Linked DNA regions of Alligator mississippiensis. The main gene of each other region encodes a partner of the protein of the gene in region 3 in a complex. Links are inferred from orthologs where the notes say so. Each region holds a gene or a part of one and is shown on either strand. Other genes may lie near its edges.

Evidence for each region. Proteins that work in one complex are often made in the same cells at the same time.
Region 1: EXOSC2 (region 3) and EXOSC7 share a complex: the UniProt entries of both Homo sapiens proteins name them as parts of the RNA exosome core complex. The link is inferred for Alligator mississippiensis from reciprocal best matches to the Homo sapiens genes EXOSC2 and EXOSC7.
Region 2: EXOSC2 (region 3) and EXOSC5 share a complex: the UniProt entries of both Homo sapiens proteins name them as parts of the RNA exosome core complex. The link is inferred for Alligator mississippiensis from reciprocal best matches to the Homo sapiens genes EXOSC2 and EXOSC5.

What each region holds. Positions count from the first base shown.
Region 1 is NC_081828.1:136,666,468-136,677,662, reverse strand, and holds the start of EXOSC7 (exosome complex component RRP42), read right to left. Parts: upstream 4,505-11,195; 5' UTR 4,334-4,504; coding exon 4,277-4,333; intron 1-4,276. UniProt on the Homo sapiens protein: Non-catalytic component of the RNA exosome complex which has 3'->5' exoribonuclease activity and participates in a multitude of cellular RNA processing and degradation events.
Region 2 is NC_081838.1:1,543,491-1,552,633, reverse strand, and holds EXOSC5 (exosome complex component RRP46), read left to right. Parts: upstream 1-5,591; 5' UTR 5,592-5,641; coding exon 5,642-5,738; intron 5,739-5,814; coding exon 5,815-5,928; intron 5,929-6,130; coding exon 6,131-6,252; intron 6,253-6,406; coding exon 6,407-6,547; intron 6,548-6,754; coding exon 6,755-6,844; intron 6,845-7,001; coding exon 7,002-7,094; 3' UTR 7,095-7,139; downstream 7,140-9,143. Other genes in the region: B3GNT8 (UDP-GlcNAc:betaGal beta-1,3-N-acetylglucosaminyltransferase 8), read left to right, coding at 254-1,423; BCKDHA (2-oxoisovalerate dehydrogenase subunit alpha, mitochondrial), read right to left, coding at 2,304-2,474, 2,542-2,713, 3,065-3,206, 3,290-3,496, 3,742-3,903, 4,001-4,109, 4,199-4,285, 4,363-4,542 and 1 more. UniProt on the Homo sapiens protein: Non-catalytic component of the RNA exosome complex which has 3'->5' exoribonuclease activity and participates in a multitude of cellular RNA processing and degradation events.
Region 3 is NC_081835.1:59,317,124-59,327,377, reverse strand, and holds the start of EXOSC2 (exosome complex component RRP4), read right to left. Parts: upstream 4,563-10,254; 5' UTR 4,548-4,562; coding exon 4,315-4,547; intron 3,992-4,314; coding exon 3,890-3,991; intron 2,559-3,889; coding exon 2,513-2,558; intron 1,031-2,512; coding exon 941-1,030; intron 158-940; coding exon 92-157; intron 1-91. Other genes in the region: PRDM12 (PR domain zinc finger protein 12), read right to left, coding at 8,157-8,539, 10,197-10,254. UniProt on the Homo sapiens protein: Non-catalytic component of the RNA exosome complex which has 3'->5' exoribonuclease activity and participates in a multitude of cellular RNA processing and degradation events.

The sequences.
Region 1 (11,195 bases), on a different chromosome or scaffold from region 3:
AACTTCCACATTTCATCTGAGACACAGCATTAGTGGATGAAGAAAAAGGATAGTTCAGAGGTTAGCGTACTTGACTCAGCAGGGTTCAATTCCCAATTCTGCTACTAACATCTGTGTGAAATGTAAAATAGAACTGGTACAACTTCCTTTCTACTCTGCACAACTTGTTTTGTCTTGAAATTGTGCATGGGCAGAACAACTCATGTAACAAGTTCTCAGGAGCTCCAACAAGTTTGTCATCACAGAGATCATTGCAGTTCAGGGCCTTAGACTTCAAGGTCAAGGCAGCATGCTTCTTTAATATCTAGCACAACAGTGTTCTGCTCCTCAGAGCCTTCAGCTCATGAAAACGTGTGCTAAATATACTTGAAAGGCAGGGTAGCTAAGCCTGGCTTCCTTTTCATAGTACCTGATGAAGTGCACTTCAACTTGTGCTAAATATATGGGAAAGGGAGGCTAGTTTTGCATCTTGTAGACTCAGCCATGTGTGTGTGTACATGCATGCAGGCACATGTGCAGAATTCTGTGAGCCTACAAGGTGCACGGCTACCCTGCCTTTCCCATATATTTAGCACAAGCTTTTGTGAGCTGAACTGCACTTCATCAGTTGCTGTGAAAAGCCTGGCATCCTGAAGTGAGCTTCAGCTCACAAAAGCTTGTGGTAAATCACAGAACTATACAAAATTAGGGTTGGAGGAAGGGGCTGTCAGGTCATCTAGTCCAAACAGCTGCTCAAAGCAGGATGATCCCCAACTAGATCATTCCAGCCAGGGCTTTGTTGCACCGGGCCTTAAAAACCTCCAAGGATGAAAATTTCACCACCTCTCTAGGTAACCTGTTCCAGTGCTTCACCAACACCCTGGTGAGAAAGCTTTTCCTAATATCCAACCTAAATCTCCCTTGTTGCAACTTGAGACCACTGCTCCTTGTTCTGCCATCTGCCACCATTGAAAACAGTCTAGCTCAGGGGCGGACAATTATTTCAGGCGGAGGGCCAATTACCCAGTTTTGGCAAGCTGTCAAGGGCCACACAGGTAGCCCCGCTCCTTGACAGGTGCCCTGCCCCCTGGTCACCATCTTGGGACCAATGTCCCAATGTCTCAGGGCCAGTGCCGGTGAGGCCCAGAGCAGGGAGCAGGCTGGCAGGGGTCTGTGGAGCTGGATTGGGCTGCACCAGCAGGGAGTGGGGAGCTGGCCTGGCTCCACAGAGCCCCTGCTACCCGGGACCCCTGTATTCCTGCTGTCCTGCTCTGGGCCCTGCCGGCACTGGCCCCAGGACACCAGTGTGGGCCCTGTGTACCCGCTCACTCCCAGTGCCCCCTAAGCCCCATGGTACAGGCAGGGAGCAGTGTACAGCCCCGACCCCCTGCTCCATGGCAGGGAATGAGCTGGCGCTGCGTGTGGGGGAAAAGCAGGCCCCCTCCCCTGCCCCCAGGGCACGGGGCATGGGGCAGGGAAGGGGCTGCTTTTCCCGTGCTCAGCACCAGCTTGTAACCTACCCCTGCTACCAGCTGGGGCCCCACACTGGTTCCAGGCTCACCCGTCGGGGCTGTGCCTTGGTGGCAGCAGCTGCAGCCCCCCCTGCTTGCTGAGCCGAGCGGTGTTTACCACCACTGCCTCTGGGCTGCCTAGTGCGGAAGCTCTGGGCAGGGGGCGGGGTGGGCACAGCTGCTGCCACTGTGCACAGCCCCAAAGGGCAAGCCCAGAACTGGCGCGGGACCCAGGCTGGCAGTGGGGGTGGGTTACAAGCTGGTGCTGAACGCAGCACCAAGGGACAAGAGTGGGGACAAGAGGCCCCTCCCTCACTCTGTGCCTGATGCCCTGCACCACAGCTGTTCACAGTCTGCGTGGGGCTGCCTTTGCCTGCTCAGGACAGCTCTGTGCGGGCTGCAAGCAGCTGCAGCAGGGAGCACTGCCCATGGGGCTGGGGAGGGACCACTTTTCTCCAGGCTCCTTCCCTGCCCTCCCCCACACCCCTTACCTGAGGTTCTGGCCAGTGCAGCCACATGGTCCCAGGTCAGAAGCCCCTGCTGGGGCAGGAGCCCACTGGGCTTCCCCTGGGACCTACTGGCCCTGGTTCCAGTTACTCTTGACATGAACTAAAGACAGATAAATATTAATTTTCTAAATTTTTTAGGAGCCCCATGGGCTGGATAGAATGGCCTCATGGGCCGGATCCGGGCCATGGGCCATATTTTGTCCATCCCTGGTCTAGCTCCATCCTCTTTGGAACCACCCTTCAAGTAGTTAAAGGCTGCTATAAAATCCCCCCTCAGTCTTCTCTTCTGCAGACTAAATACACCCAGCTCCCCCAGCTTCTCTTCAAGTCCTGTGCCCCAGCCCCCTAACCATTTTCACTGTCCTCCACTGAACTCTCTCCAACTTGTCCATATCCTTTCTGTAGTGGGAAGCCCAAAACCGAACACAATACTCCAGAGGTGACCTCACCAGTGCTGAAGAAGCAAATAATCACTTCCTTCAATCTGCTGGTAACACTCCTACTACTGCAGACCAGGATGCTGTTAGCCTCCTTGGCAACAAGGGCACACTGTTGGCTCATATCTAAATATACATAAAAAGTGGGATAAAAATGTATGTTGAGAGGTTTTCACCTTGTAGACTCACGAAACTGGATGCGCACATGCATGCATGTGCATACATACTTTGGTGAGTCTACGAGATGCAGGGTGAGTCACATATATTTCTACTATGCCTGTAATATATTTAGCACAAATCTACCCTGCCTTTCATGTATATTTAACACAAGCTTTCATGAGCTAAAGTGCACTTTTATCAGACACTGTGAAAAGTAGAGGTGCACTAATATATCAGCTGCATTTCAGATTGGCACCGATAAAAAAGAAGTTTACATTATCAGCTATTGGCTTTTTTTGGTCCGGTGCATCTGATAAAGTTCACTGATAAATATAATAATTATGCCTTCTGGCCAGGACTCCCTTACGCCGCGTACATATGCATGGCCACACGCATACACATGGCCAGGAATGTGGCCGGGCAGCCTGGAGAGCAGCTCCCTGCAAGTAAATCTATGGTGGGCGGGAAGAGCATGGGGGAGGGAGATCAAGGCCCTCATGGTGAGGGAGGGAGTGGGGCAGGAATTAGGGATGCTGCCCAGCCAGAGCAGTGAATGGGACCTGGGGCAAGGGCAAGACGGAGCTATGGGTGACTCGTCCAAGGAATGTGTGGGGGGAGGGGTGGGATGGCTCCCCATCACTGTGCAAGCCCCAGAGAGGGCATTGTGGGGTCATGTGTCCCTCCAGATTTGTGCGTAGGGCGGATGCAGGCTGCCTGTTGTGGGCTCAGGGCTCTCTGCCCTGCTGCCTTTTCCCCAGGAGCCCTGCACCTCCCGGCAGCAGTGAGGGTGGCAAATTGTGAGGCCAGCGTGAGGCTCCCAGGCAAAGGCAGCAGAGTGGAGAGCCCCGAGCCTGCAGTGGGCAACCTGCATCCAACCTTGCCCTGCTTGGCTCTGCTCTGGGCTTAAAAAGGGTGGCAGTGGCACTTGAACTAAAGCTCATTTGATGAGCTTTAGTTCAAATGCCCCCACCACCATTTTTCAGCACTAGGATGCTGATACCCTGGACAAGCCACTTGCGGCTCTGTCCCACTCCATGCCCCAGGTCCTAGTCACTGATTTGGATGGGCAGTGCCGCAAGCCCCAGCCCCGCTCCCTCCTTCACCTTGGGGGTCTTGATCTGCCCCGCTCCTTCCCTTCCCCTCCAGACTTACCTGCAGGGCGCTGCTCTCTAGACCACCCAGCTGTGCTCCTGTAAATCACTTATTAAGTCAGTAACATCCGACATGCCTGGTGAATAATTAACTATGGGTAACAGCTAATAAAGTCTTTATTGGTGCACCCCTAGTGAAAAGCCTGGCTTCTTTTTCATAGCACTTTATGAAGCACACTTCAGCTAATGAAACCTTGTGATGCCTAGATGTGAAAGGCAGGGCAGCTTTCACCAAAGCAAGCCTACCTATGCCCACGTGCACACACACAGGTTTGTGAGCCTTCAAGGTGCACAGCCCCGGCGCCCTCCCCCACTATTTAGCGCACCACCGCCCTCCCTCACAAGACAAAGCCCAGGACTGCAGAGAGCAATCCCCTGCGCCTAAACCAGTCCGCCCACGGGGTCTCTTCGCGCCCCTGAAGGCCACACGGAGTGAGAGCCAGGAGCGGGCACCTCCATGGGGCTGGGAGGGGGGAAGCGGCGCTCCGGGAGCAGCGAGGCGGAGCTACTGGGGGAGGGGAGCCCGTTACCTGGATCCCGTGCACGACATAAACCTTCTCCGCCTCGCTCAGCACCACAGACGCCATGCCCCGCGCCGGCTCGTAAACACTTCCGGCTCACTGCGGATGCCGTCATCAAAACGCAACGAAGTTCCTCGAACCCTTGTCAGCCGACGTGAGGCACAGCATCGGGTGTACGTAACTTCCACCCCGTGACGCGTGGTGGAACGACTGACGCCCCCTGCGTCACAGGCTCTCCCGCCTCAAGGAACTGTGAGGAGTGAGGCACTAACTGGGCGCATGCGCAGGGAAAGTTGAGGGTTTGCGCATGCGCATCCGTGTTACTTGGAAAAACGTATGTGCGTATAGGTGGCGGCTGAGCACACGCGGTTTACCTGCCTACCACCGTAATGGCGCATCGTAGTCTCTGAGCGCTAATCCACTGAGTGCATAACATAGAAACCAGTGTGAGAGCCTGCAGTGCTGGCTGGGCAGGCTCAGGGGGCAGTGCAAGATACCACATTTACCCAAAGAGCCCTGTTTACCCTGATCTTAGATCAACACAGCTACCCCCTGCAGCTATGCACAGCAGCACTCAGCTTGTCCCTGTCTCTGGAGGGGGGACAAGAAATGAATCTTAAGCCAGCAGCTTCACCTGCTGCATCTCTTGATGGAGGTGCAGCCTGCACTGAGTCACGGTGCGGGTGAGTCACATAGAAGGTGCATGCGTGCACACACCCCAGGGACACTGAAAGAACATGGTGATTACAAAGACAATGCCTCAAAGTGGGGAGATGGCAGAATTTTAACACTGATGCAGGAGATCCTATGGGTCACCTCATTTATGCTTCTCACAGGTCAGGTAGTCTAACTGATTTCCTTCTTGGGTGTTTCTTGAGCCCTGGTCAAAGGGACTTGTATTTTGGACATCTAAAGACCTTATATAATAGGGGGGTGGGGTGTCCAAGGTGTCTCAAACTGGGGGGACCTAAAAGTAGTAAATAGGTCTGACCGTAATTTCTCAGACTTGGTTCCTCAGTGATGGAACTGGGGATAATAATACCCAATAATTTCCTTAAAATAAGTTCATTTAAGCATACCATGCGCTTACATGCCATATGCAACACTATAGCAGCTATAGGAAGCCCCCTTTTTTGAGTCCTAGTGACAAGGTATTTAGCAGAATTTGCAGTTTTGTTGGAATATGACAGGGCTGCGCCATAAGCACTTCTGTTATGGCCTACAGGAAACCCTAGATGGAAATTATGGCTCTGTCTTCAGAGCAGCGCTTGAATTGGGTGTGACAAATCAAACACAGGGATTCAAACTGAACTAAAAGGAGAAGTAGTGAATAGCTCATCCAATGAGCTCTGTCTTTTTGGGTACTTCTGCTTCTCATGTCGTGTCTGAGGTTGTTGATGAGAGGTATTTAGCTGAATTTGCATGTTCATTAGAATCTGGCAGGGCTGCAATGTGAGCACCTCTGCTATGGCCAGTCTGCTATTTTGGGCACGGGATGAGGCAGGCAGTCATCTGGAATACATAGTATAGAACCATAGAGCAGTAGGGCTGAAAGGGACCTCCAGAGGTCATTTAGTCCAACCCCCCTGCCTGAGGCAGGATCGTTCCTATCCAAACCACCCTATACAAACCATAATCTAAACTCTACGTAAGACTACCATCAACCCTGAAGGAATACAGACCCAGCACCCTAACCTGGCACAGAAATGTTCTCAATGTAGATTCAAGAGATTGGGACTAGAGGGCTACAGAGAAAGACAAACTTCCACAGTCCAAACCAACCTGATCATGGGGTAAAATTCCTTCCTGACCCCAAATATGGCGATCAATTTGACCCTGAGCAGAAGAATAAGATGCTCTAGCCAGGAAGCTGTAATTAGAGCTAGTGACTGTCATAACGATACAGGCACCATCGGGCTGCTAAACTGAGCTTCGACAGGTTACCTTCATTCGGAATTTCCTACATTTTGAGCATTTTGACTTTGCAACCTTAACATTCTTTTAACATAGGGTTTTTTGAGGGGGACATCATGTATGTGTTTTTTTAATCTTCAAGGAGTAGCATACTGTGGTTAGCATTTTTGTGATACTGTCAAAAGAAGCTTTCTTATCTACTGAGCATGAGCAAAGTGCAGTATTTCAAAGGTTTAGAACTTCAGTGTTGGCAACTCATGATTTTTGGCGTTGCTCTTAAAGTCTATGCTTTGGGGATGCGAAAACCGGGGGGGGGGGGGGTGCGCGTGCGTGTGTGTGAGAGCTAAGGTTTTTGTATTCCCAAACCCTAGACTTTAACAGCAATGCCAAAAATCATGAGAGTTGGCAACACTGGAACTTGGCCAGCTTTGGGCAGGTTTCTCACAGTGGTTTTTCATCTCCTTCCCCCAAATCTGAGGGACAGAGGAGGTTTCAAAGAAAAGGTTGCCAGGTTCTGCATTTTTTTTAACATGGGCCAAACAGCAATATGTATTGTCCTTCCCTATTGTTCTTACGAGTTGCTGCTAAGAACCTGGGTGTAACATGGGGGCATCCATGTGCACAAACCCATGTGTGTTTGCACATACGTGTCTATTTTTTGTTTCCCAGGAGCACCTAAATGAGTCAGGGATGCTCCTGCCTTTGAGCAAGGGGCTGGACTACATAAACTCAAGTGGTACCTCCACATGATCTTAAATGCTCCAGTGCAACTGATCAAGACTCCATTCTACTAGACACCATCCAGCCAGAAAAGCCAGCCCCTGCTTGACCGCTATTACAATTTAAATAGAATTTTATCTTGCTCAAGGCCAAATCTGTTCCAAATTCAACAGGGCAAGGCCCAATAGTCAAGTTCCAAAATTCAACTGAGCAGAACTTAATCGGCAAGTCTGTGTGGCTCGACCACAGAGCAAGTATCCTCCCTCCCAGACTTATCTGTCTGGGGCTTTGGATATTCCCAAAATCCAGGCAGGTGTCCTATGTGCAAGCTCCAGGCCCAGAAGCCCCAGGTTCAAATGCCCCCATGTCCCACTTGATCTTAGCCAAAAGGCCAAGAAACAATATTTAAATAAATACAATAGCAGGTAAGGGGGAAATGCAAGAAATAAGCAGAATGGGTCAGGCACAGCCATATTTCCTCAGGCCTTGTATTGCTTGTGGGGGAAATCAACAGAGCAGTTAACACACATCTTCTTGCAGCTTCAGAGCCCTGCTCTAGCCTTGGGGAAGCTCCCAGCTCTCAATGGACTCTTAGTCCCTCAAGCTGGGGAGGCAGAGACAGCTGGGTGTGATGCTTGGGCAGCTGCATCAGGGCAATGCCTTCCTTGCCATACACAGCTCTGCCACGAGGCTGTCTGCACCTGAGCCCAGGTGAGGCCTTGCTGCTGTGGCATCCAGGCAAACAGGTCCACAGAGGCCAAGAGGACATGGCTCCGGCCATGATGCAAATGTGGTCTCCTTATTCCTGGTCCCTTGTTCCCGGTTCCTTTCTCAAAGCTAATCTTTGCGCACTTAAAGGTCGGGAGTAATGAATTCAGTGTGCTCAAGAGTTTGATTTTCCCCCAAAATGTCTGTTGACTAATTGAAATGTAAAATAATATTAAGAACATAGGCCTGAATGAGGAGCTGAGAGGAGGCCGTGGGGCATGTAAAATAACATCACCTATGTCCCGTGGGCTCCTTTTAGCTCCTCATTCAGACCGACATACTTGATACTATTTTACATTGTGATTGATTTGTCAATAGACACTTGGATGCAATTCCAGCTCTGGAGTGGATCGAATTCATCGCTCCGGACCTCTAGCTGCGTAAAGATGAGCCTGGGAACAGGGACTGGGAGTAAGAGACTGGAAGCAGCATTGCCAGGTTTTAAATATGACTGTATTGTAAGCTCAGAATTACTGCATTTGCTGAACAATTATGCAAACAAGTCTTTTTCTTATTTACTTTGCATTGCATTAAGTGGCCAGGGAGGGAGCGCAGAAGTGGATCATCTAAAGCTGAAGCATTTCATTTCTACCCCTACCGCCCAGCAAACAGCCGTAAAAAAAAAGAAAAGTGCTGACCCCAAACCCAAAAGTGGGTCGAGGCTCTCTGAGAGCAACTTGGCTCTTCGATACGCGGCATCCAGGTCCTTTTTTGTGCCCGAAAGCTTGCAATTAAAGATATTTTTTTTGGCGGGCTAATAAAAGACACCACCTCTGCTACGAGTCCCGATTGCCTTTTCCTGTAGGCCACTGCGGCCAGGACCCGGCTATCGGGCTTTTGGAGCGCGTAAGCTCCCGCGGACCGCGCGCGGGGGCCAGAGGGGGAGCTGCGGCCGAGCTGACAGGGCAGGGGGAGGCGCCACCGCCGCCGCGTGGGGCCGGGCCGGGCCGGGCCGGGCCGGGCCGGGCCGGGCGGTGTGGCGTTTCCCGGCGCGGCTGCTTCCTGGACCGGCGGATGGGGAACAGGAGGTACCGCAGCGGGGCCCCGCGCCCTGCCTCCCCGGGCGGATGGGAGCCGGCGGAGGGCGGCTGCAGGCGGCGGCCTGGAGCGGCGCAGCTCTGAGCGGGAGCGGCGGCGACGGCGGTGCGGTAGGTGGCGGCGCTGCGGCTGCGGGGAGCGAGGAGGAGCCGCCGCCAGCACCAGGCGCGGCCTTCCCGTCCGCCGTCCCCGGCCGGCAGCCTTCCTCTGCCGGCCGCTCGGCCCCTGAGTCCGGCGCGGCGGGCGCTGCAGCTCCTCCTGCCCAGAGCCAGCAGCCAGGCCTGCCCCGCCCCGCCCACCTGTGTCCCCAAAGTCCCCTTTATTTGCAGGCGTCAGGACAGCTAGGCTGCACCGCCCGGGGGGTGCACAAGGATTAGATGTAGAGATAGACAGATGTGCCCTGCTTTGAGCAGGGGTTGCGCTAGACGACCTCCCTTCCAGCCCTCATCTTCTACCTACCAATTTGGGGGGGGCAGGGACGGGTCGTATTGACCAGCCACACAGTTGGGATGGATGTGGGCAAGCCATCAGGGGTCACAGTGCCTTTCTGGGATGGCTGCAAGCTCACCGGTGTCCATTGCAACTGTGCAGTTAGTCCAGGAAAAGGTATCGTCCATAGGCAGCCTCACTTGTCTCATTATTATTATTATTATTATTAGCTATGATTTAGGCCTCCTGCAGTCCAGCAATGCTTGTGTCACTGAAGGCACCTTCAATTCAGCTGCCCTGCAATTTAAATCCTGGAGCCCCAGGCATTTAATTGGGTAACCAAGCATCCATGCCAAGTGCCAATGAGGTCTTTGCTTGAACCGTGAAATAAGAGCACCTCCTCTGGATCTTTTTGATGACGGAATTGAGCCTCGATGAAGCAAAGTTACAAAGTCCGGCATTGCAGTCAAACCGGGAGGGAACTTGTGGTGCTTATAGTGGAGCTGACCAATTGAAAAAGATTAGGGATAGGTCCTTTGTATGCTAATAACAAGGATTTTGATTGACTTTCTAAATGTTTTTTAATCTTTTTAGAGCTTTTCCCAGCAACAACAATAATAATAATAATAATAACAACAACATTTATGATGATGATGATATGGCAGTTCCTAATTTAAATCTTAATGTTTCTCCCTGCTTACTACAATGCTAACATTTGAGAGAACAAGTGCTCTTCTCACCTATGCTGTCCCTTTTGAATATTCCTGAGCACAATGACCAGTGGACAGCAAAAATTTAAGATTCCTCCCCCCACCCCCTCACCCCCTCTGATTTTAACTTGGATAAGATCAAGTGTATTTCCAGATATATAAATGAGTCTGTGTGCAGTTTGGATTCAAAATGATGAAGATGCAAATATCGTAGATCTGTAGGAGAAAAGTACTTTCGCTCAAATTCTAATGATATATCGTTCTGTAACGATACAGTAAAATTATTGTCTACAATAATAGGAGCCTGGGGCAAGGTTCCAGGAAGTGTGACATTTTCCTGTCCTTAATGACAGCATATGATAGCCACAAAAATGGTGTTTGTATTAATGACTATTAAACACCTCTATAAAAGTGGGGCCGCACATTTCTTTTTGTCATTGCCTTTAAGAGTGCAGCCACACATGCATTAAGGATCCAGCAGTGCAAAAGGTACAGATGCTCAAGTACAGTACTTACTACCATGAGCTTTTTTTATTTAATCAATGGGAGTTGCTTATGAGAATAAGTGCTGTACTTGGATAGAACATTTGCTAAAACTTGCCAGAGGCAAGAAGTTTGATGCAGTGAGAGCCTGAATTAGTCACTTGATCAATCTAATTTTTTCCAACTACTTTGAAGGCTTCCAGTTAATCTGTATGAGAAGTATGTTGCCATTTGTTTCATAATAAAGGTGTTATTTCAGTGTTTTGTGTAGATAAGCTATGCGTAACTACTTAATCACTTGCTCAATAATCGAAGCTACTCCAGTGAGAAGTTTCCAAGAAAAATATTTGTCTTATCTGGCTGCCATAATAGATTTTAGGAGGACAAATAACTCATTCTTAAATTCATGATTACTGTAATGACGAAGCTGTCCATCTCACCATTTTTCTATGGGTTGTTCTCTTTGAGCCAATAGAGTCTACCTGAGAGAGTAGTAGACTGAGTGAATGTGAATGTTGTTAGATTGCCTTGAAATAGATGTGAAAACTTGCCTTTTCCTTTTGATGGTAACTGTGTAGTTTCCTTTGCGTTTATCGTGGCCAGACTTCCTTGTTTGTTGTAGTATCCCAGAATACTATTTCCCCTTTTTTTGTGGTAAAACCATGACGGTTGTATTAATTGCACTTGATTTGAGCTTTGTGATGAACTGGATAAAAACCATGGGAGCAAGGGAGGCAGTGCTCTAAAAAGTGACCATTTAAAATAGTCCAGATATGACTGATGGTGCCATCCTGTTTGTTCTGTGCCCTGGATCAAACTCATCTAAGGTTTAGATTCGCTTCAGAGAAGATGAGAAATTGAAACTG
Region 2 (9,143 bases), on a different chromosome or scaffold from region 3:
AGGGACTGGAGGACCCCACAGTGCCTGTGTGGGGGAGGGCAGGGCTGCGCTGATGCCCCCACCCTGCTAAGGGCACCTCTCCACCCCTCTGACAGACGGGTCTCTGGATATTGCTCTAGGAAGCTCCAGGACCCAGAACTCACCTGCTCCCTGGTACAGGGCATTGTGGGAAGGGCTTGGAGGACCCTGCAGCACCTGGCTGAGGGGATCAGGGCCTCCCTGCCCCACCCCTTGTCCTTCCAGCTCCCTCCTGATGAGCAGGATGCGGTACCACAAGTGCCTGACGGTGGCACTGGCCCTGGCCACACTCCTCTGCCTGGATGCCTACATCCGCTGGAGCCCGCTGGGGGAGCCCGATCCTGTCCCCCTGCCGCTTGCCACCACCCCTGCACCCCCTACCACCCCGGCGCCCCCACTGCCCCTGCACCACAGCCTGCAGATCCTGGCCAACATGGTGCCCCGGGCAGATGCCTACTGGAACCGGCAGCTGCACCAGCGCCTGGAGGAGTTGGGAGGTGGCAACGGCACCAGCGCCAGCGCTGGCACAGCGGCGTCCCTGGGTGTCCCCGACTGGGCGGCTTACCCAGAGCCCCTGCAACGCTTCGTGAGCCATGGCGCCCGTCGCCACTACCCGCTGCTCCTGGAGCCGTCGCGGCCGTGTCCCCCGGACGGCCCCTTCCTGCTGCTGGCCATCAAGTCGGCGCCGGGCGCCTTCGCCGAGCGCCAGGCTGTGCGGCAGAGCTGGGGGCAAGCGGGCGCTGGAGTCCGCACCGTGTTCCTGCTGGGGGCACCTGACGGGGACGGGGACACCCCGGACATCTCGGGGCTGGTGGCCTGGGAGAGCCGGGCCCACGGCGACGTCCTGGCCTGGGGTTTCCAAGATGCCTTCTTCAACCTGACACTCAAGGGGCTGCTCTTCCTGGGCTGGGCCGGCGCCCACTGCCCCGGCGCCCGCTTCGTGCTGCTGGGCGACGACGACGTCTTCGTCAACACGCCGCGCCTGCTGCAGCTGCTGGCGGGGCTGGGCCCGGGGCCCGTGTACGCCGGGCACGTGATGGCTGGGGCCTGGCCCGTGCGGGCGCCGGGCAGCAAGTACTATGTGCCCGAGAGCTTCTACGCCGGGCCCTACCCAGCCTACGCAGGCGGCGGGGGCTACGTCTTCTCCGGGGCGCTGCTGGGGCCGCTGCAGGTGCTGGCCGGGTTGCTGCCGCCCTTCCCCATCGATGACGTCTTCGCCGGGCTCTGCTTCCGGGCGCTGGGGGTGGCTGCCCGGCCCCACCCTGGCTTCCGCACCTTCGACATCGCGCCCAGCGACCGCGCCAGCCCCTGTGCCCACCGTGCCCTGCTGCTCGTGCACCGGCGCCAGCCCCCCGAGACGCTGCGGCTGTGGAGGCAGGTCCGCGACCCGCAGCTGCAGTGCTAGGATGGTGGGGGGGGGGCTGTGTGTGTGTGTGGGGGGGTGCAGCCTTTCTATGAAGGGGGCATTAAAGGGTGTTTGCGTGCACCTGGCTCTGTCGCTGCTTAGGAGGGGTGAGGGGCTGCAAGTTGGGAGTGAGGGGCACCGGCAGGGCTGGGGTGGGGGAAGTCACGGCAGAGACCTGTCATTCTCCCCCCGCCCTGGGTGCACCGAGGTTCTCATGTCCTCAGCCCTGGCTGGTCCCCGTCCCCCTGCAACAGAGACCTCTGAGCCCAGCTCAGTTCTTACAAACTTTATTGGTGACGCTGCTCCTGGCAGCTCCAGTCCCAGCTCCAGGCCCCCAAGGGTGGGCGGGGGGGAGGCACAACCCTCCTAGCTCCGGGGGCAACAACACCTCCAGCCACTGGCCAAGCGGTGTGGGGAGGACGGGCTGTCCCAGGACCCAGCTCCCCCCCACTGGCAGCACAAGGGGACGGAGGAACAGGAGGTGAGAGTGGAGGTGTGGGTGGGGCCCGACAGGCATGTGCAGGGCTAGGTGGGGTGGGTGAAGCCTGGGGGAGGTAGGGCTAGGTTGGGTGGGTGGGGTTGGCAATAGGGGGCGGAGCCTGCCAGGCATGTGCAGGGCTGGCAGGTCTGGTGAAGGTGGGAGGGGCCTGATGGAAGCATGGGGGAGTGGGTGGGGCCTAGGACTGGGTGGAGTCTGCTAGGCTGCGATGGTGGGTGGCTGGCAAGGACGGCAGAAGGCCTGGTAGAGATGGAGCTTGTTAGGGTGGGTGGGGCCTGAGAAAATGGGCGGAGCCTGCCAGGCACAGGCAGAGCTGGCAGGTAGCCTGGCGAAAGTGGGAGGGGTCTGGAGGTGGGTGGAGCCCAGGGGCGGGGCCAGCAGTCACTTGTCAAAGAGCGCGAGCGGGTAGTGCTCGCCGTAGAGGCGCAGGTGCCGCGCCAGCCCGTCGCGCTGCCGCGCCAGCCCGGGGGGGGTGTCGCAGTACACATCGGAGAAGAGCAGCTGGGGGCTGGGCTTGCGGCGCCGCTCGGCTGCTTCGAAGGCCTCCAGCACCTGGTGGGGACGGGCACAGGTGAGTGCCGCCAGGTGAGTGCCCCCCCCCCGAGGCCCCACCACTCACCTGGCGCCGCGACTCCTTGCGCCAGGCCTTCTCGCGCGCCTCGTCCCACCAGCCGCGGCCCAGCATGTAGTGGCGCAGGCGCGAGATGGGGTGGTCCTGCTTGTCCCAGTAGTCGACCTCGTCCACCGAGCGGTAGGCTGAGCTGTCGTCGCTTGTGCTGTGGTGGCCAATCCTGGGGGCGGGGGCGGGGCTGAGCCTGGCCCTGCCTCCTCCCTAAGCCCTGCCCCATCAGGCCCCTCAGGCTCCGCCCTCAGCCTGGCCCCGCCTCCATCAGGCCCCTGCACCCCCCGCACAGCCCTGCATCCTAGCATAATCCTGCCCCCTTCCAAAGCTCCACCCCCATCAGGACTCAGTTTTCCTCCTGCAACTCCAGCCTGGCTACGTCCCCTCCCTAAGCCCCGCCCTCATCAGACCCCTGGACCCTCAGCATAGACCCGCCTCCTAGCATCTTCCCACCCTCTCCCCAAACTCCACCCCCATCAGGGCTCAACCTCCAGCCTCCCTAAGCCCCGCCCCCACTCACCTGTAGGTCATGGCTTCAATGAGGAAGGGCTGGTTCTCAGCCACGGCGCGCCGCCGCGCCTCCCGTGTGGCATTGTACACGGCGAACACGTCGTTGCCGTCCACGCGGATAGACAGGATGCCGTAGCCAGGGCCACGTGCCACTGCGGGGGAGGCAAATGTCACCACTGCAGCCCTGATCCCGCCCCCGGCCCCCGATCCCAGCCCCGCCCCCCGCGCTACTGACCAATGCCGTCGCCGCGGTACTGCTCGGAGGTGGGCGTGGAGATGGCGTAGCCATTGTTGCGGCAGAAGAAGAGCACGGGGCAGTCCAACGTGGCGGCGAAGTTGAAGCCGGCGTGAGCGTCGCCCTCGCTGGCCGCGCCCTCCCCGAAGTAGCAGATCACGGCGCGATCAGCGTTGTCCCGCTTCATGGCATACGCTGCGCCCACCGCTGGCACCGGGCGGGGGGGAGGGGGGGAGTGAACCAACCCCCCCTCCCAGCAGCCACGTCCCAGCTTGGGGGAAGGGGAGGGAAAGGGGCAAAAGGGCTGCAAGCTGGGAGCGAGGGGCAATGGCGCGGTTGGGGGCTGCAGGGTGGGAGCGAGGGGCAATGGCGCGGTTGGGGGCTGTGGGTCAGGAGCGAGCGGCACCAGCGGGGCAGGGGGGGTCAGGAGGTCGGGAGCGCAGGGGTCTCACCTTGGGGGATCTGGGTGGCGAGAGGGGATGAGATGGTGACGAAGTGCAGGTCACGGGAGCCGTAGTGCACGGGCATCTGCCGGCCCTTGCCGGGGTCGCCGGCGTGGCCGTAGCACTGCGCCATGAAGAGGTCCAGCGGGTACCCCCGGTACATCAGCACCCCTGGGGCACGGCGCCACGTCAGGAGGCACCGTCGTCGACCCCCGCCTCGAGGGGCTGGGGGCAGCCCCCCTGGGGGGGGGTCACAACAGGGCTTTACCTGCCTCGCGGTACTGCCCGAAGACCAGGTCGGTGGGGTCGAGCGCGGCGGCGCTGCCCACGTGGGTGCCCTCCTCCCCGTAGTTAGTCATGTAGAAGGAAATGCGGCCCTGGCAGGGGGGAAACCGAGGCAGGTGGCGCCGGGAGCCCAGCCCGCCCCCCCCCCCCCAAGGGACCCGGGCATCCAGGCGCGCCTCACCTGGCGCTGGGACTCGTACAGGATGCGGTCCATGGTGTTGAGCAGCGTCATGGTCTTGTAGAGCTTCAGCACCGTCTCGGCGGGCAGCTGCGGGCACGGGGGGCGGGGTCAGCGCGGGTGGGCGGCGCCCCGGATCCGTGACCCCGGGGGTCGCGCCCCCTCACCTGGGGGTCCTGGCTGGGGTTGAGGATCTGGCCCTGGCGGTCCATGACGCGGTAGACGGGGATGCCAGCCAGCACGTTGGGCTGGATGAAGTCCAGCGTGTCCACGAAGGCGGCCGAGGCGCCGGGGAACTGGGGGCGCTCCGCCGGCGACGGGAACTCCTCCTGCTGCCTCGCGGCATGCTGGGAAGGGGCGCCGTTACCCATCAGGCCCCGCGGTGCCCCCCCCAGATGATGTCACGGGCCCCCCGAGCTGTGCGGGGAAGGGGTGGGCTCTGCCCTCCATCTACACCCGGGGGGGCTGGTGTTTGGGGCGGTCCCTGTGCCCCCCCCCCCCCCCCCCCGGCACCTCCTGGACCAGGGTGCCCTTGGGTGCGGCAATGTCAAGGCCGCGGGGAGGGGCCAGCTGGGGGAGGGGGGGCACGCCCCCGGTGCGGACCAATCAGTGGCCGAGGCTGGGGGGCGTGCTTGCCACCTGCCCCAGGATGGGGGGGCTGATACCCCTCTGAGCTGCCAGGGGGGCTAAAGCCAGCTCTGCCCCCCCCAAAACAGGGTGGGGGTAACTGCTGGGGGGGCAAAGCTCATCCCGCCCCCCCAGGAGAACCCCTGCCCCACCCCACTGTGGGAGGATTGCCTCCCCACACACGTGACACCCCCCTCGCGTGCCCCCCACCTAGGGGGGATGTGCCCCACCAGGCCCCGCCCCCGCCGAGGCCCCGCCCCGCAGGCCCCGCCCCCGCGCTCACCCCCGTGCGCAGTCCCCGCAGCTGCAGGAGGCGCAGGCCCCTCCGCATGCCACAGGCCGCCGCCATCTTGGTGCGGGCGCGGGGGCCGATGGGAGAAGGGGGAATGGGGGTGTCACCATAGCAACGGCGTGTCTCTGCCCTTTTAGGGAAGCCCCGCCCCCACGGTGGCCCCGCCCCATGCCTACGCGGTGTGCTGATTGGCTAACGAGGAACAACGCCACACCCTGTCAGGGAGAGGGGGCGTGGCTTCGCGCACCCCGCCGCGCTGATTGGCTGGGCCGCGCCCGGCCCCTCTGTCAGGGAGAGGGGCGGGGCCTGCACCCATTGGGCGCCGTGATTGGCAGGGGCGCGTGCTTCTCCGGCCTATCCGGGGTAGGGGCGCCCAAGAGGCGCATCCATTGGCTGCCGTGCGTTCCAGCCCCCCACCCGCCTCGAGGGGCGGGGACTGCGCGTAAGAGACGCTGCGATTGGGCAGGAGCCGCGTTGGGAAGGAGGGGAAGGCTGCCCCGGAAGCGGAAGCTGCGCGTGCGGGCGGCATGGGCTCGGAGCCGGAGCCGGGCTGCGCCCTGCGGCCCTTTGCCGTGGAGCAGGGGCTACTGTCGCGGCCCGACGGCTCCGCCGCCTTCGTGCAGGGTGCGGGGGCGGGGCTTCGAGCGTGGGGGCGGGGCTAAGGGCTTTCCCCGCCCCCGTTGACCCCGGTGCCCCGCAGGCGACACGTCGGTGCTGGCGGGCGTCTACGGCCCGGCCGAGGTGCGGAGCAGCCGCGAGAGCCCCGAGCGCGCCGCGCTGGACGTGCTGCTGCGGCCCAAAGTGGGGCTCCCCGGTGAGGTGACCCCTGACCCCGGGGTCATTCCCCGCCCTCCACCTCCGTGCCGTGGGGGGGAGGGCACGGGCTTCTCCCCATCACGTGACGGGGTGGGGGCGCCTACAGAGGCCTGGACACTTGGGTTTTGCACTGGGGGGTGATGCCCTCCCTGGAGGGTCACGGGGGGCGGGGCTTCCTGCTGACCCTTGACCCCCCGCAGGCGTGTTGGAGCGGAGCCGGGAGCAGATGGTGCGGCGCGCGTGCGAGGCGGCGCTGCTGGGCGAGCTGCACCCCCGCTCCTCCGTCACCCTCGTGCTGCAGGTCGTCAGCGACGCCGGCTCCGTATCCTGCCCTGGGGGGGGCAGAGATGCACCCCCCCTCGTCATCGTTCAACCTCGCCGGGCCCCCTGGGAAGGACGGGGGGTGGGGTGGGGGTGAGGCTGCTCTAACCGCTAGGCCCCGGGGACCGGGTCGTTGGCCTTGACCCCGGGCCCAGCTGCTGTCGTGCTGCCTGAACGCCGCCTGCCTGGCGCTGCTGGACGCGGGGCTGCCCCTGCGCTCGCTCTTCTGCGGGGTCACCTGCGCCCTCGCGCCCGACGGCGCCGTCGCTCTGGACCCCAGCGCCCGCCAGGAGAAGGTGGGGGGGGGTGTAAGGGATGGGGGAGCAGATGGGAGCCGGACGCCTGGATTCTCTGGGAGGGGGGCGATGCCTCGTGCGTGGAGTAAGGGGGGGGCCTAAAATCTAGGACGGGATCGCTCCTTGGTGTGAGGCTGCAGGAGGAAGGGGGGCTGCTGGGGGGCAGAGGGGAGCCTGCACGCCTGGGGTCACACTCTTGCCCCGCAGGAGGCCCGGGCGGTGCTGACCTTCGCCTTCGAGAGCACGGAGAAGAGGTTGCTGCTCTCCACCACGCGCGGGGCCTGCTCTGCCAAGGAGGTGAGCGCCCCCGTCGTCCCCGTTAGGCTGGGGGTGCTCGGCAATCCCAGCATGCCTTGGGTGGGGTCCTGTCTCCTGGGGGGGAGGGGCCTGGCTGCCTGCCTGCCTGCCTGTACTGGGGTCCTAGTGCAGCCCTGACCTCTATTCCTCCTCCCAGTTACACCAGTGCCTGGCTCTGGCTCAGCGCGCCACCGACACCATCTTCCAGTTCTACCGTGACTCGGCCAGAAGGAAGTTCTCCAAGAGCTGAGGCCCCTGCGGGGAGCCGGACCCCCGCAGACCCGGGGGGGGGGGGGGCAAGGACATGCCTCAGGGCAGCAATGGGCAGCTGAACTGAAGGTGGGGGGGGGCTGTGGGTCGGGAGTGAGGGGCAGCAGTGGGGGCGGAGGGGTGGGAGTGAGGGGTGCTTCCGCCCAGGGGCTACCCAGTGTTCTGGTGGGATGGGGGGGCCTGCTCTGGCATTGGGGTCCCCAAATAAAGAGCACACGGTCTGTGCTGTTGCCCCCCAGCACCCAAGCATCTGTCTTGTCCTTAATGACACATGTTTTTTGTGGTTGGTTACCTGTGTGTGTGTGTGTGTGTGTGTGTACACACGTATACTGGTGGCTTCCCCATCCCCGGGGGGGGGTGGTTCTCTCCACCTTTCCCTACCCCCACCCCCAGTCTTCCCCTTGGTTCTGGTCACGGGCAGGGGGCGGTGGGTTGGGGGTGAGGGGCACTGGCTGGACTGGGGGGCAGGGGCTGCCAGGGGGTGGTGGGACCTGTGCTCTCCACGGCTGCTGTGGCGCTTGGGGCGGGGGACCCGTTAGCTGCATTTAATGAGCTCTGGGGGTGTGGGCAGCATCCTATCAAGCCTCTGCCTAACAAGCCTGGCGCTGTGGCTGGGCTCTTCGTTTACCGACAGCCCCAGATCTGGCCCGGACCCCTCTCGAAGGCAGGGGTGGAGGCCCATAGGGCTGCCAGGCCGCAGAGCGAGGGTGCTACGTGCAGACCTATCTACCTCTGGGCCTGTGCTGCTGGGGCGCAAGGGAGGGGGAAGTAGGGCCCATCCGTGGCCCTCAGGGCATTGGCAGGGCACCTCGGGCTGCCAGCAAGGCTGTTGCTGGAAAACGTGTCCCCAGGGCCATGGCCTGCCCCAGGTGTACAGTGAGGGGCCGTGGCACCCCACAAAACAGCCACCCTGGGGCTGTGGCACCCCCGGGTGGCTGCCATGGGGCTGGGGCAGTTCCACGCTGGCCGCCCTGGAGCCATGATGCCCCTCTTAAGGCAGCTGAGACCTGTGGCTCCCTCACGGGGGTTTCCATGGCGCTGTGGTACCCTAAAGGTGACGGTGGTACTCTGGGGTGGCTGCGGTGGAGCTGTGGCACCCCCATGAGGGTGGTCATGCACGGCGGCATCCTAGAGTAGCTGCCCCTGGGCCCTGCCACACTCAATATGGCGGCGGAGCCCCTCCCCCGGGCCTGTGACCCACCCAAGATGGTGGCGCTCTCCTATTGCGGCCAATGCTGCTTTGCCACACCCAAGGTGGCGCTGCGCCCGGCCATCGTGCTCCCTTCCCACGATGGCGGCGCTCTCCGTGCGGCAGTTCGACCTCCTCAAGATGGCGGGCAGCGCTCTCTTCCCTTCCTCCCGCTCTCTTGGGCGGGGCTGCGAGTGATACGTCAGCGCGCTCGGTACTCCGACCAATCAGAAGCCGGCATTCCGCAGGGGCCTGCCCGGTTGCCGTGGCAGCGGCATCCGGAAGTGGTCCGGAGTGCAGGGGCGAGTGGAGTCCTGCGGGTGCAGGCGCACGTGTGTGCATAGGGTGAGGGTGCAAGAGGGGTGTGCAAGGGGCTTTGCGCGGTTAGTGTGCAAGGGCGTGTGCACAGGTTGAATATGTAAGGGACGTGCACGGGACAAGCGTGTAAAGGAGTGCGCATAGGGGGAGCGTGCCAGCGGGTACAACGGGCTGGGCCGGGTGTGTGTGCAAGGGTGTGTGTGTTGCCAGAGTATGTAAAGGAGTTGGCACGGTGAGTGTGCAAGGATGTGTGTCGGGTGAGTGTGCAATGGACTTTGCATAACTGCAAGAGGGGAGTCATCACGTAAAGCGTGCAAGGGGCTTTGCACGGTGAGTGGGTGAGGGGTTAGGCACAAGTGAAGCGTGCAAAGGGGCTGGCATGGGGTAAGTGTGCAAGGGGGCACGCGCAGGGTGGGTGAGCGAGCGAGTGCGCGTGGCGACATGCATGGGGGTTGTTACACTGAGTGTGCACAGAGTGAGTGTGCAAGGTAGGGGGTATGTGCGGGGGTGCAGACACAGGTG
Region 3 (10,254 bases):
CACAGTAATTCTGTTGAACGGCTGGGGTTTGGTGATGCACCCAGGTCCCACCCAGGCTTCTCCTGCCTGTCTGCAAATGAAGGAAGGATACGCTGATCAGGTCCCCCTCCTGCAGGTAGTCCCTCATGGCCAACTCATCCTCTGCCGATCTCCTCCTCTGGAAAACATAAAGGGACAGAAAGTGACACCCAGCCTACAAACGGTAAGACCTAACCAGTCCCCAGCCTAATTCGTCCTTCCATCTATCACCCAGGTGAAGCTAGAGAGAACAGGTTCCTTAGATCATCAAGGACAGCACCCACCTCTCCGTTTTAACCCTGCCTGCCTCTCCACATAGATCACACAGCCTCACCAGGGAGGCCCTGCAGCTGAAAGCTTCTAGTCCAGGCAAGGTGCCAGACAGTGTATCAGAGGACCATCCCTGAACCAACAAGGGCGAGGGGAGCAGACAGGATGAGAACCAGCAGACCTTTCCTAGCTCGGTGCCACAATCCCAACGTGATGTAAAATCAGTGACAGCCTAGAGGTGCCATGTAACGGATGCATCTTTCCCAGGGGATGCTGTACTGTGAGTTTTAGCTACATGGAACTCACCCGACAGGGCACGCTAGCTCACGACGGAAGGGCCTTGCTCCCTTCTCCTCCATGCTAATGCCCCCTCAGCACAGGCTCAAGCGTGCAACTTCTCTCAGGGGAATTCTGCACACCACAGCTTTCATCTGGGACCTGGGGCTGCTCCTGCCCTCTCTCCAAGGCCAGACTCAGTCCCATGCAACACTGATGCATGAACTAGCTCCATATGGATGCTACAACTCTCAGCAGCCACTGGGAAAAGAGTTTTGCCGCCTCACAGAACACCTCAGCGCCCTGCTCCTTGTCTCAGCTGGTTGCAAATGGCATGAAAGGAACACAGCATCATACAAGCTGGACTTCTACTCACCAGCTCCCCTCCCGGCAGATTCATGGATGAGAGAAGCAAGACTGAATCCAGCCTGGAGTTTGTCTCCACCTTCCACCGTTTCTGCTGCACCTAAGGCGGGAAAGAGAAAGGTGGGAGAAATTCCTCTGGCTGGATCGCCAAGAGGACCTCTCTCCGTCCAGCAGGACCCTCAAGAACGTAACCCAGCCCATGAACAAATCAGAATCACAGAAGTAGGGTGGGAAGGGACCTTGTAGATCCTCAAGTCCGACCCCCTGCCTGGGCAGGAGAAAAACTGGGCTCAAGTGACCCCAGCCAGGTAGGCATCGAGCCACTTCTTAAAGACCCCCAGGGTAGGAGCCAGCACCACTTCCCTTGGAAGTTGGTTCCAGATCCTAGCCACCCTAACTGTGAAGTAGTTCCTATGGATGTCTAACCTAAACCTACTCTCCAACAACTTGTGGCTGTTATTCCTTGTTATCCCGGGGGGCACTAGGGGAAACAAGGTCTCCCCCAAACCCTTCTGGTCCCCACTAGTGAGTTTATAGATGGTCACAAGGTCCCCCCTCAGTCTTCTCTTGTGAAGGCTGAACAGGTTCAGGACGAGGAATAACTGAAGATCTGTCTTGTTCTCAGCACACATGAACAAAACTAGTGCCCTTCACTTATGGTGGGAGTGCCTGATTCATGTTAGGGCATAACGCCCTGCCAGTTCCAATATGCTATTTACAGCGTAACAAACTGATCATCAGTGTAAGAGCTAAGTGCTTAAATACCCTTTCAGCGCTACTGCCTACTTCGTAAATTACCTGTGCTTTCTAACTGCCCCAGAGACAGAGGAAGGGAAGCTGCTGTCAAAGGGCTGCTATTTTAAGCCTTGAAAATAAAGCAGATAGCTGGTTTCGTGGCTACTGTTGCCCCTCCTTTTCAAGGCTTTTAATAGCAGTCCTGAAACTATCAGACTTGGAAATGAAAAGAGCCTGCCAGTTTCAGGGCTGCTAATGCCACGGCACTGAGAGCTGCTGTGTGCTGCTGAGCACTGATCAGCTCCAATACAATTCCAGGTAAGACTTTTTCAGTCTCAAGGCTATTCTCTTAAACTCAGTACACTCTAAACCCACCTCCTACGCCCCAGAAAGAGTATTCCTGGGGGAGCAGATGTAGCACCCAAAGCTACTTGTCATCTCTGGCTTTTAAATCACTGGTTATATTAAGAACTTCCTAGTAACCAAGGAGGCCAGTGCTGTCCTGGTTTCAATGACGCGTCATGCTTTGCTCAAGGTCTCTCAGCAGCACAACCTGGAACCAAACTCAGGGGTTTAGGCCATGCCAGTACAGCTACGGGCTGAGCTTCCACAGCCTTTATGGCCAGACCGTAAAAGATCTGATTGCTTAAGTTGCTGGGTGCACCTTGGATCAGACACCCAGCCACAAATGACAGTCTGGTGGTTATCTTCCCCCTTGGCTAGGGTTGTGCCCAGGAGCACATCTGATTTATAACATGTAGGATAAGGGTAACTGGGACAATATTGTGTATCAGAGAAATCAAGTCATTCATACAAAACAATGACTAGAAACCTCTGGGCACTTTACCTCTGTGATTCTCCCAACCACGATGTCGCCAACTTCACCGTTATACCTGGGCGCAAGAAAAAAGGGAAACTGTTCACACTGGATGCAGAAACCCCTCTCAATTCAGATCCCCTTATCACTACCACGGTAATTAAACACAAGCAGGGCTGAGCTAGCACAGGTCCCAACAGCACAACCTGCTTCAACTCTAGCACAGTGCCCCAATACAGAGGCTTTTTTCCAGCAAGTTTTAACTGAGCTCAGCAGAGGTGTAAATGAATTAAATTTGCTGGGCTCTGCTACCTGAGAGGTCAGAGCGGACAATCGTGAGGTCCCTCCAGGTTTTAACAGTGACAAGCAATGTGGGGCCTGATATCACGAGGATCAGAATAGGATGCAATTTAATAAAGATAAGTGCAAAGTGCTGCACCTGGGGAGAAAGAATCACCAATACGCCTCCAGACTGGGAAGTACCATTCTAAGTATCACAGCAACGGAAAGGGATCTCGGAGTCATAGTCAACACAAAAATGAATACGAGTCGCCAATGTGACGAGGTAATAAGTAAGGCTAACTGCACTGTCTTGCATGAGCAGGTGCAAGCAGGTCTAGGGAGGCGATACGTCCCTTCTATGCGGCATTGGTGAGGCCACAGCTCGAGTACTGTGTCCAGTTTTGGGTGCCGCACTTCAAGAGGGATGTAGATAATCTGGAAAGGGTTCGGAGGAGGGCTACTCATATGGCTGAGGGCCTGCAGGTAAGATCCTACAAAGACAGACTGAGGAACCTGAATCTCCTCAGCCTCGCAAGAGAAGGCTGAGAGGTGATCTTGTGGCTGTCTATAAGCTCATCGGGGGGGCGGGGCGGCAGGGAATAGGGGATGCTGTGTTTACCAGGGCGCCCCTCGGGGTTACCAGAAACAACGGCCACAAACCGTAAAGGAGCAGATTTAGGTTGGACATCAGGGAAAAAATCTTTACGGTGAGGGTTGCCAAAATATGGAATGGGCTTCCCAGGGAGGTGGTGCTTCCCCTACCTTGGAGGCGTTTAAAAGGAGAGTAGACAAGCACCTGGCTGGGGTCACTTGACCCCAGCGCTTCTTCCTGCCCAGAGCAGGGGATCGGACTCGATGAGCTAACAGGTCCCTTCCAACCCTAGAAACCTATGAAATCACCTCTCTGGTTATGGTAGTTGGATGTAGCTGGCAAACGTGATCGCATCCAGTTTAGCAACCTTCGCCCTACCGGTTTCCGCTGCAGGGCGCACGCAGAGACCCATCCCACCCCCACCTCCAGCACCCTTCAGGGGGAAGGGGGAGACCCGTCCCACCCCACAGCGATACCCGGGCTCCGGGTGGGTCCAGCCAACACCTCGTGCGTCCTCGACCGACGGCGCTCACCTGGTTTTCAGGGCTTTGACACAGATCAGCTTGTTCACTCGCTCCACCGCACCCGCCACGGACGCCACCAGCTTCTCCTCGCCCATGTAGGTGCCGTGGCCCCTGCCGAGGAGAGAGCAGGTGACGCAGGGGGCCAGGAAGGCTCCCCCCACTCCAACATGAAGCAGGCTGGGGTGGACCCCTGCCAAGGGGGTCCCACGCGTGAGCAATGGGGTGGAGGTGGTAGGGCAGGGGGTAACCCAGGGACCCCCCCACACTGGTGCGAGCTGGGGGCCACCTGGCAAAGCAGCAGCTCTGCAGAAAAGGACCTGGGGTTACAGCAGACACGAGGTACCCCCCAGGGCAGCAGCAGAGGCCCCATCCCATGCACCCCCCCTCCCCAAAAAAATACCCCAGAGGACATTAGGAAGCCTGCCCCTCCCCACCTCATGTAGCCCGTGTCCGTGGTGATCGTGTCCCCCGGCGCCACCAGGTCCCTCCCGCTGCCCCGCGCCAAGTCCTGGCCCACCAGCTTGCGGGCCACGGGCAGCCGGACCTCCATAGCCGCCATTCCGACTCCTGGCGGCGCGGCAGCTTCAGGCCCCTTGGGCTCCACGGGTTTCCCGCCGCCATGCCAACTGCTGGCAAGAGCACGTGTGCGGGCTCCCCGCGTCGCCATCTTGGGGAAGGGCGGAGCGGGCGCAGGGAAGCCATGTTGGATCCGGGCAAGGAGGGCGGAACGGCCTTCAGTGCGTTGGGTGTTGAGGGAAGGCGAGAGGGTGGGTCCATCTTTAGTGCTGGCAGGAGCTGGAAGAGCTCTGGTGCCCCCCAGTGCTGGCTGTGGGGAGCTCCCCGGGGGAGGTCACAGAGATGCTCCAGCTTTGCCCCCAGGGGCAGGGGGCTCACAGGGGCAAAGCTGGCTCAGGCTCCCCCTTGCAAGGGGAGAGCCTTGCAGGGAGGGAAAGTGTCCAATCCCACCAGGAAAAAACTGGGGCAAGCACATAAGAGCCAGCCCCTCGCCCAGCCCGCTGCCATTGCCCTGCTTGGTCCTCATCTCCAGCCAGTGCATTTACTCCTCCAGCGCAGGACGGTTCGGACAGGCCTCAGGCAGGCGCTCGGACTAGATGTGGCCTCTGGAGGTCGCTCCCGGCCCGACTCCTCTACGAGCCTATGAATAAGCAAGAAAGCATCCGGCCCTCGTGCGCCCGACGGGACAGGGCTCTCACGCTGTCCTGCATGAGGCTGGGTCCCTTGGGAGAGCCTGCAGGCATCGTCCTGCCTGCCGGATGGTGAGCACCGTGCACCACAGCTGCATAACGCTCGGGTTGAGGAGGCACCGAAACACCCTCTGCATGTCTGATCCAAAAGGTTAAGCTGCTCCGGACATAAAAAGCCTGGCCTAGATCCTCCCACCGGGCCAACAGGCTCTGCGCAAGCCTGCGCTAGCGTTCGCCAGGCCTGCGCTGTGTTATAACGATGGGCATGTGGTTGTAAAGGCAAGTGCTGGCCAGAAGGAAATGGGAAATGGGCGCCGTCCAGTGCACTTCTGTGTTAAGGACCTGTTTGCTGTGACTGAAAACCTGAGGCTTGACGCCTTTCGTTTGCACAGGTGCTGGTGCACACGTGAGCATTGGGGGGGTGTACATGTGTGCAAATGATTTTCCTCCTATTCCAAAGACCACTCTCTTTCAAGATGCAAGGATCATCCTAGACAAACGGCAGGTCAGGACTGATCAGTGCTTTGTCTTAACTGTGCAGTGCAGTAGGGTCAGAGAGAGCAGGGTCAGCGGCATTTTTGATCATTAGGTCTGACCTCGTGCATTGCACGGGCAAGGGCTCGCCTTCAAGGGACTGCTGCACCTTGTGGCTGACGGTGTCTTTTAGGAAGGCATCCAATCTTGCTTGACCCCAAGCAGCAGCAAATCTCCTGCTTCCCATAGCAAGCTGTTTTAATGGTTTGACCCCCAAGCAGCAGCAAATCTCCCCTGCCCTTAGCAAGCTGTTCTGCTAGCTAAGGATACACGGGTGGGAACTTTTGTTCACTTCACTCCAACACAGTGAAGAGGCATAAAGGACGTAAAAAGGGAGTAAAAAGCAAGGTAGAAAAAGGAAAAGGGAAGTAAAAAGGCAAGAAAAGAAAGTAAAAAAAGGAAAAGGGAAGTAAAAAGGAGAAAAAGGAAGGTAAAAAAAGGAAAAGGGAAGTAAAAAGGCAAGAAAAGAAAGAAAAAAAGGAAAAAGGAAGTAAAAAGGAAAAAAAGAAAAAGGAAATAAGGCAAGAAAAGAAAGTAAAAAAAAGGAAAAAGGAAGTAAAAAGGAGAAAAAGGAAGATAAAAAAAGGAAAAGGGAAGTAAAAAGGCAAGAAAAGAAAGTAAAAAAAGGAAAAGGGAAGTAAAAAGGAAAAAGGAAGGTAAAAAAAGGAAAAGGGAAGTAAAAAGGCAAGAAAAGAAAGTAAAAAAAGGAAAAAGGAAGTAAAAAGGAGAAAAAGAAAGGTAGAAAAAGGAAAAAATAAAAAGGCAATAAAAGAAAGTAGAAAAAGGAAGTGAAAAAGGAAAGTGGGAAAAGGAAGTAAAAAGGCGAAATAAGGAAAAAAAAGACAAAAGGAAGTAAAAAGGAGAAAAATCCAAGGACCCCCTTCTCGTCGCTTCCCTGTGCCAAAGCCAGCATCAGGCTGTCCTAAAATACAGCAAGGAAGAAAAGTGCCTAACGATTCACCATCTAAATGGTAAATGTTCCAAGTAATTTTTATTTAGAATACAAGAGAGAGCGTGGTACAAAGGTATTTACAGCTGTGTACATATACAATCAAATAATATATAATATCAAAGTTTTGTAAATAATGTTTTACATAAATATGTACAAAGTTAAAGTGACAGTTGTTTTCTGGAAGTAAAACACAGTTTGTGAAAACTCTATACATCTCATACTTAGAATTAATATTATAATAGCTTCTCTTCCACGTTATTTTACAAATCCCCCTCTTTGCCTGGGTTCGTGACTGCGGCAGGCCTCCAGGAGGCGCTTCAGACTGCGTTCGGGTTGGGACTTGCCCAAAGGATGGGTTTCTCTCTGGTCTCCAGAGGGCAGTGGAGGGAACAGTTTCAATGGTCCCTAAGGAAAAGAAGGGTCTGCTGAAGGACCAGCGTGGAGGGGTGGGGAAGAGCTGAGGAGCTGAAGGAGAAGCAAGACCAGGCGTGTGTGTGCAGATGAAGGGCTTGCACCCTGGGCAAGGGGAGCCGTGCCCGCTGGAGGTGCCTCCACCCGAAAACATCCCATGTGGGAGCTGCACCAGTGCTCTTGGCAAAACACAGGCGTTGCATTTCCTGAGAGCACTGCTGGGCAAATCTTTTACCAAGGGACTGGCGCTGCACCTGCCTGGGCAGACCCTCAGCCCTGGGCACCGTCTGCCTGATTTCACATGTGCAGAGTTGACTGGAAAAGCTGGGGGCATGATTCTGGAGGCTGGGTTGAAGTCTCTGGGAAGGTTTCCCACCCCCCAGACACAGCAGAGCATCCCCGGCGGCGCTGACCTGGCAGGGGGACGTTCTAGCTTGCCTGGCAGGAGGCACAAATCAGTCCTCGCTGCAGAGCCTCGGTGGAAAGGAAGCTGCCCAGCATTGCTCATGCTGGAACTGGGGTTCTCCAGTGTGGGCACAGCGTTAAGGCCAAAGCTATCACGTGTTGAAGCAGGTACGGCTGCAAGAACCCCAGCAGAACCGTGCCAGCTCGGGCGATGGGAGTGGGGCCTCCTGTTAGCATTGTCTTGAGTGGAGGGGAAGGAAAGGAAATGGGAATTTTTCTTCCCTTCCTCCCACTGCATGAATTCAAAACCTGGAGGGGGGTGGGGAACCCAGAAACCTGCCTTTTGACTCTACCCACCCACTTCTGCTCCAAGTCTCAGTCCTCAACATATTAACCCTGCCACACTCCTCTGTGCCACTCGCTGCCTAATGGGCAACAAAGAGAGCCCCCAAGCCTCCTCCTTGTCCGGAGACTTAGCTCCCTCTGCCCAGGAGAGACCAGTGAGAGGAGACGTGCTGATGGGACCAAGGGGCTGGGGTGATTTTGTCCCAGTGACACATCACACGGAAGCCACACGAAAAGAGCAATGCTTCAAGGGAGGGGCCCCTCCATCAGCACGCAGCGTCACCAGCACGCCCGCCCTGCCCCTGCTCTCCCCACTGCCAGCCCTGCCCCCAAGGGCTGATGCCAAACAGCTCATCGACAACCCCTCCGTACCAGTCTCCGGCAGCTGGCAAGAGCTGCCCCAAACCTGGCCATCAGCGGGGGCTCACAGCACCATGGTGGGTATGTGATGGGCCAAGGAGGCCGGGTGGGGCACGGGTAAGGCCGGGGAGTGCGACTGCAGGGAGGCATTGGGGGGCCGGTGCCTGGCACTCTTCTGGTGGGCCCGGAGCCCGGCGAGCTGGGAGTAGGCACTTTGGCAGACCTGGCATTTGTAGGGGCGCTCGCCGGTGTGCAGGCGGACGTGGTTGCGGAGGGTGGAGGACTGGCTGAAGCGCCGGTTGCAGAAGCGGCAGACGAAGGGCTTGTCCAGCGTGTGGATGCGCATGTGGGAGCGCAAGTTGCTGCGGGAGTTGAAGCCGCGGTGGCAGATCACACAGCGCATGCGCCCCGTCGTGCTGGCCCCGCTGTCCACCGCGTGGAAGTCCTCTGCGTGACAAAGCACACGCCGCAGGGGTCAGTTGCCACCCTCGGCCCTGGAAGCCCCAGGGACCCCTGAGCCTGAGCCACTCGCTCCCCTCCTTGTGCCTTGATGACGTGGCCTCTACATGTGGGGTGAATCAATCACCGAGAAGCACCTGTCACATCAGCGCCATGCTGCTCCTGCTCTCCAAGGAGCACTGTGTGCATTGGGGCACTGACAAATGAGGCCTCCCACCCCCGGGGAGGAAGCCATCATCCTCTCCTTGGTATAGGTCACAAGCCTGGCTGTGGGGGTAGTGGGGAGGCCAGAATAGGAGCCAGGAGGCCTGCCGTGCTGCCCCTAGCAGTTAACTTTGGATCACTGGTGCTGAGCCCACTGGCCCTGCTTTCTACCATGTCCTTCCCAGGGGTCTGGTAGATGCCAGCGCGCCAACATCTCCCAAGGATGGAGCAGTGCCATTCTGCCAGGAAAGAGCCTTTCACCCCCACCCTGCCTGAGAACCAGGCTCAGCCTCACTTTGCATGGGATGTGCGTCCAGCAGCATCACTGGCTTGCTCTGCTCTGCTCTGCTCTGCTCTGCTCTGGAGGTGCCTCTGGCTAGAGTAGCCAGGGGTCTCAAGGTCAGGACGTCAGAGCATCGGCAGAGCGGAGCAGGGACCAGCGCAGCAGACGCATGCAGCATCTGTCTGCCAGCTCCAGCCAGCACATCCAAGCCCTCCTAGCCCTCAGCCCCATGAGAAAGCCATGGAGGTGGAGGCAGGGCTTGGCTGTGGGGAGCAGCTGGGGATGGAGGTCCCAGCTGGCAAGAGGACTCACACCCCTGCTCTTGTCGTTCTCTGGTGGAGGAAGGGGGAAGCCTGGGCTGCCTCTGGACCCACCCGCCTGTCTGCAGGCCCTGGCCGTGACGCTGAGAGGCCCACCCTGCTCGCTCAGTGCCCTCAGCGTGCTTCTCTGCCATGCTCCCAGGGTGGTGGCAAGGGAGAGTGACCCTCTGTGAGCCCAGATCACGTCTGTGCCCATGACCCCCTCTTCAGGGAGAGCAGGAGCAGGGGGCTTGGCTGCGAGTGCCACAGCAGGGGCTGCTCCCAATGTCCCCTCCATCCGTCCCCATGAAAACCAGCAGGAGGAAAGAAGCAGAGGATGGGAGAGAGGTCCCTGCTCTGGCACCCTGGGAAAGGAAGGGGTTGCATAGGGTTAATGATGGGGAAATTGGTGAGTCGGACATGAGACCAGGTATGCCTCTCCATCCCCTGGCTGAGCAGGAGTCATCGCCTTCTCCCCAGCACCCAAGGAGGGAAGCATCACTTCACCTCTGGCCTTGGAGGCAGGTTTTCCCTTACAGGCTCAGCAGGCAAAACAGCAGTGTCCCAGGCGAGCTGGTGTGGGGGAAGGCTGGGAAGCGATGCTAAGACCCACCGAAGTCCTGGGGAGCTGCTGATCTTTATGCTTTAAATAGCTGCCTCTCTCTACAGGGCACAGAAGGGTGCTAGAGGTGCCAGCCTGTTGACAGGGACCGGCACAGATGGGCTGGACAACAGGTGCCCGCTCCAGATGCTGAGGTCTAGCTGCACCCCTCCCACCCCCCACAACCTGGCAAAGGACCAGCTGGTGGGTATGGGAGGAGCTGGGGTCCAGGTGCACTTTCCATCCACCCCTACATACCATGCTTATTCTTCTTCTGCTCTTCCTCCAAGCCGGGCACGCCAGGGATCCCCAGGAA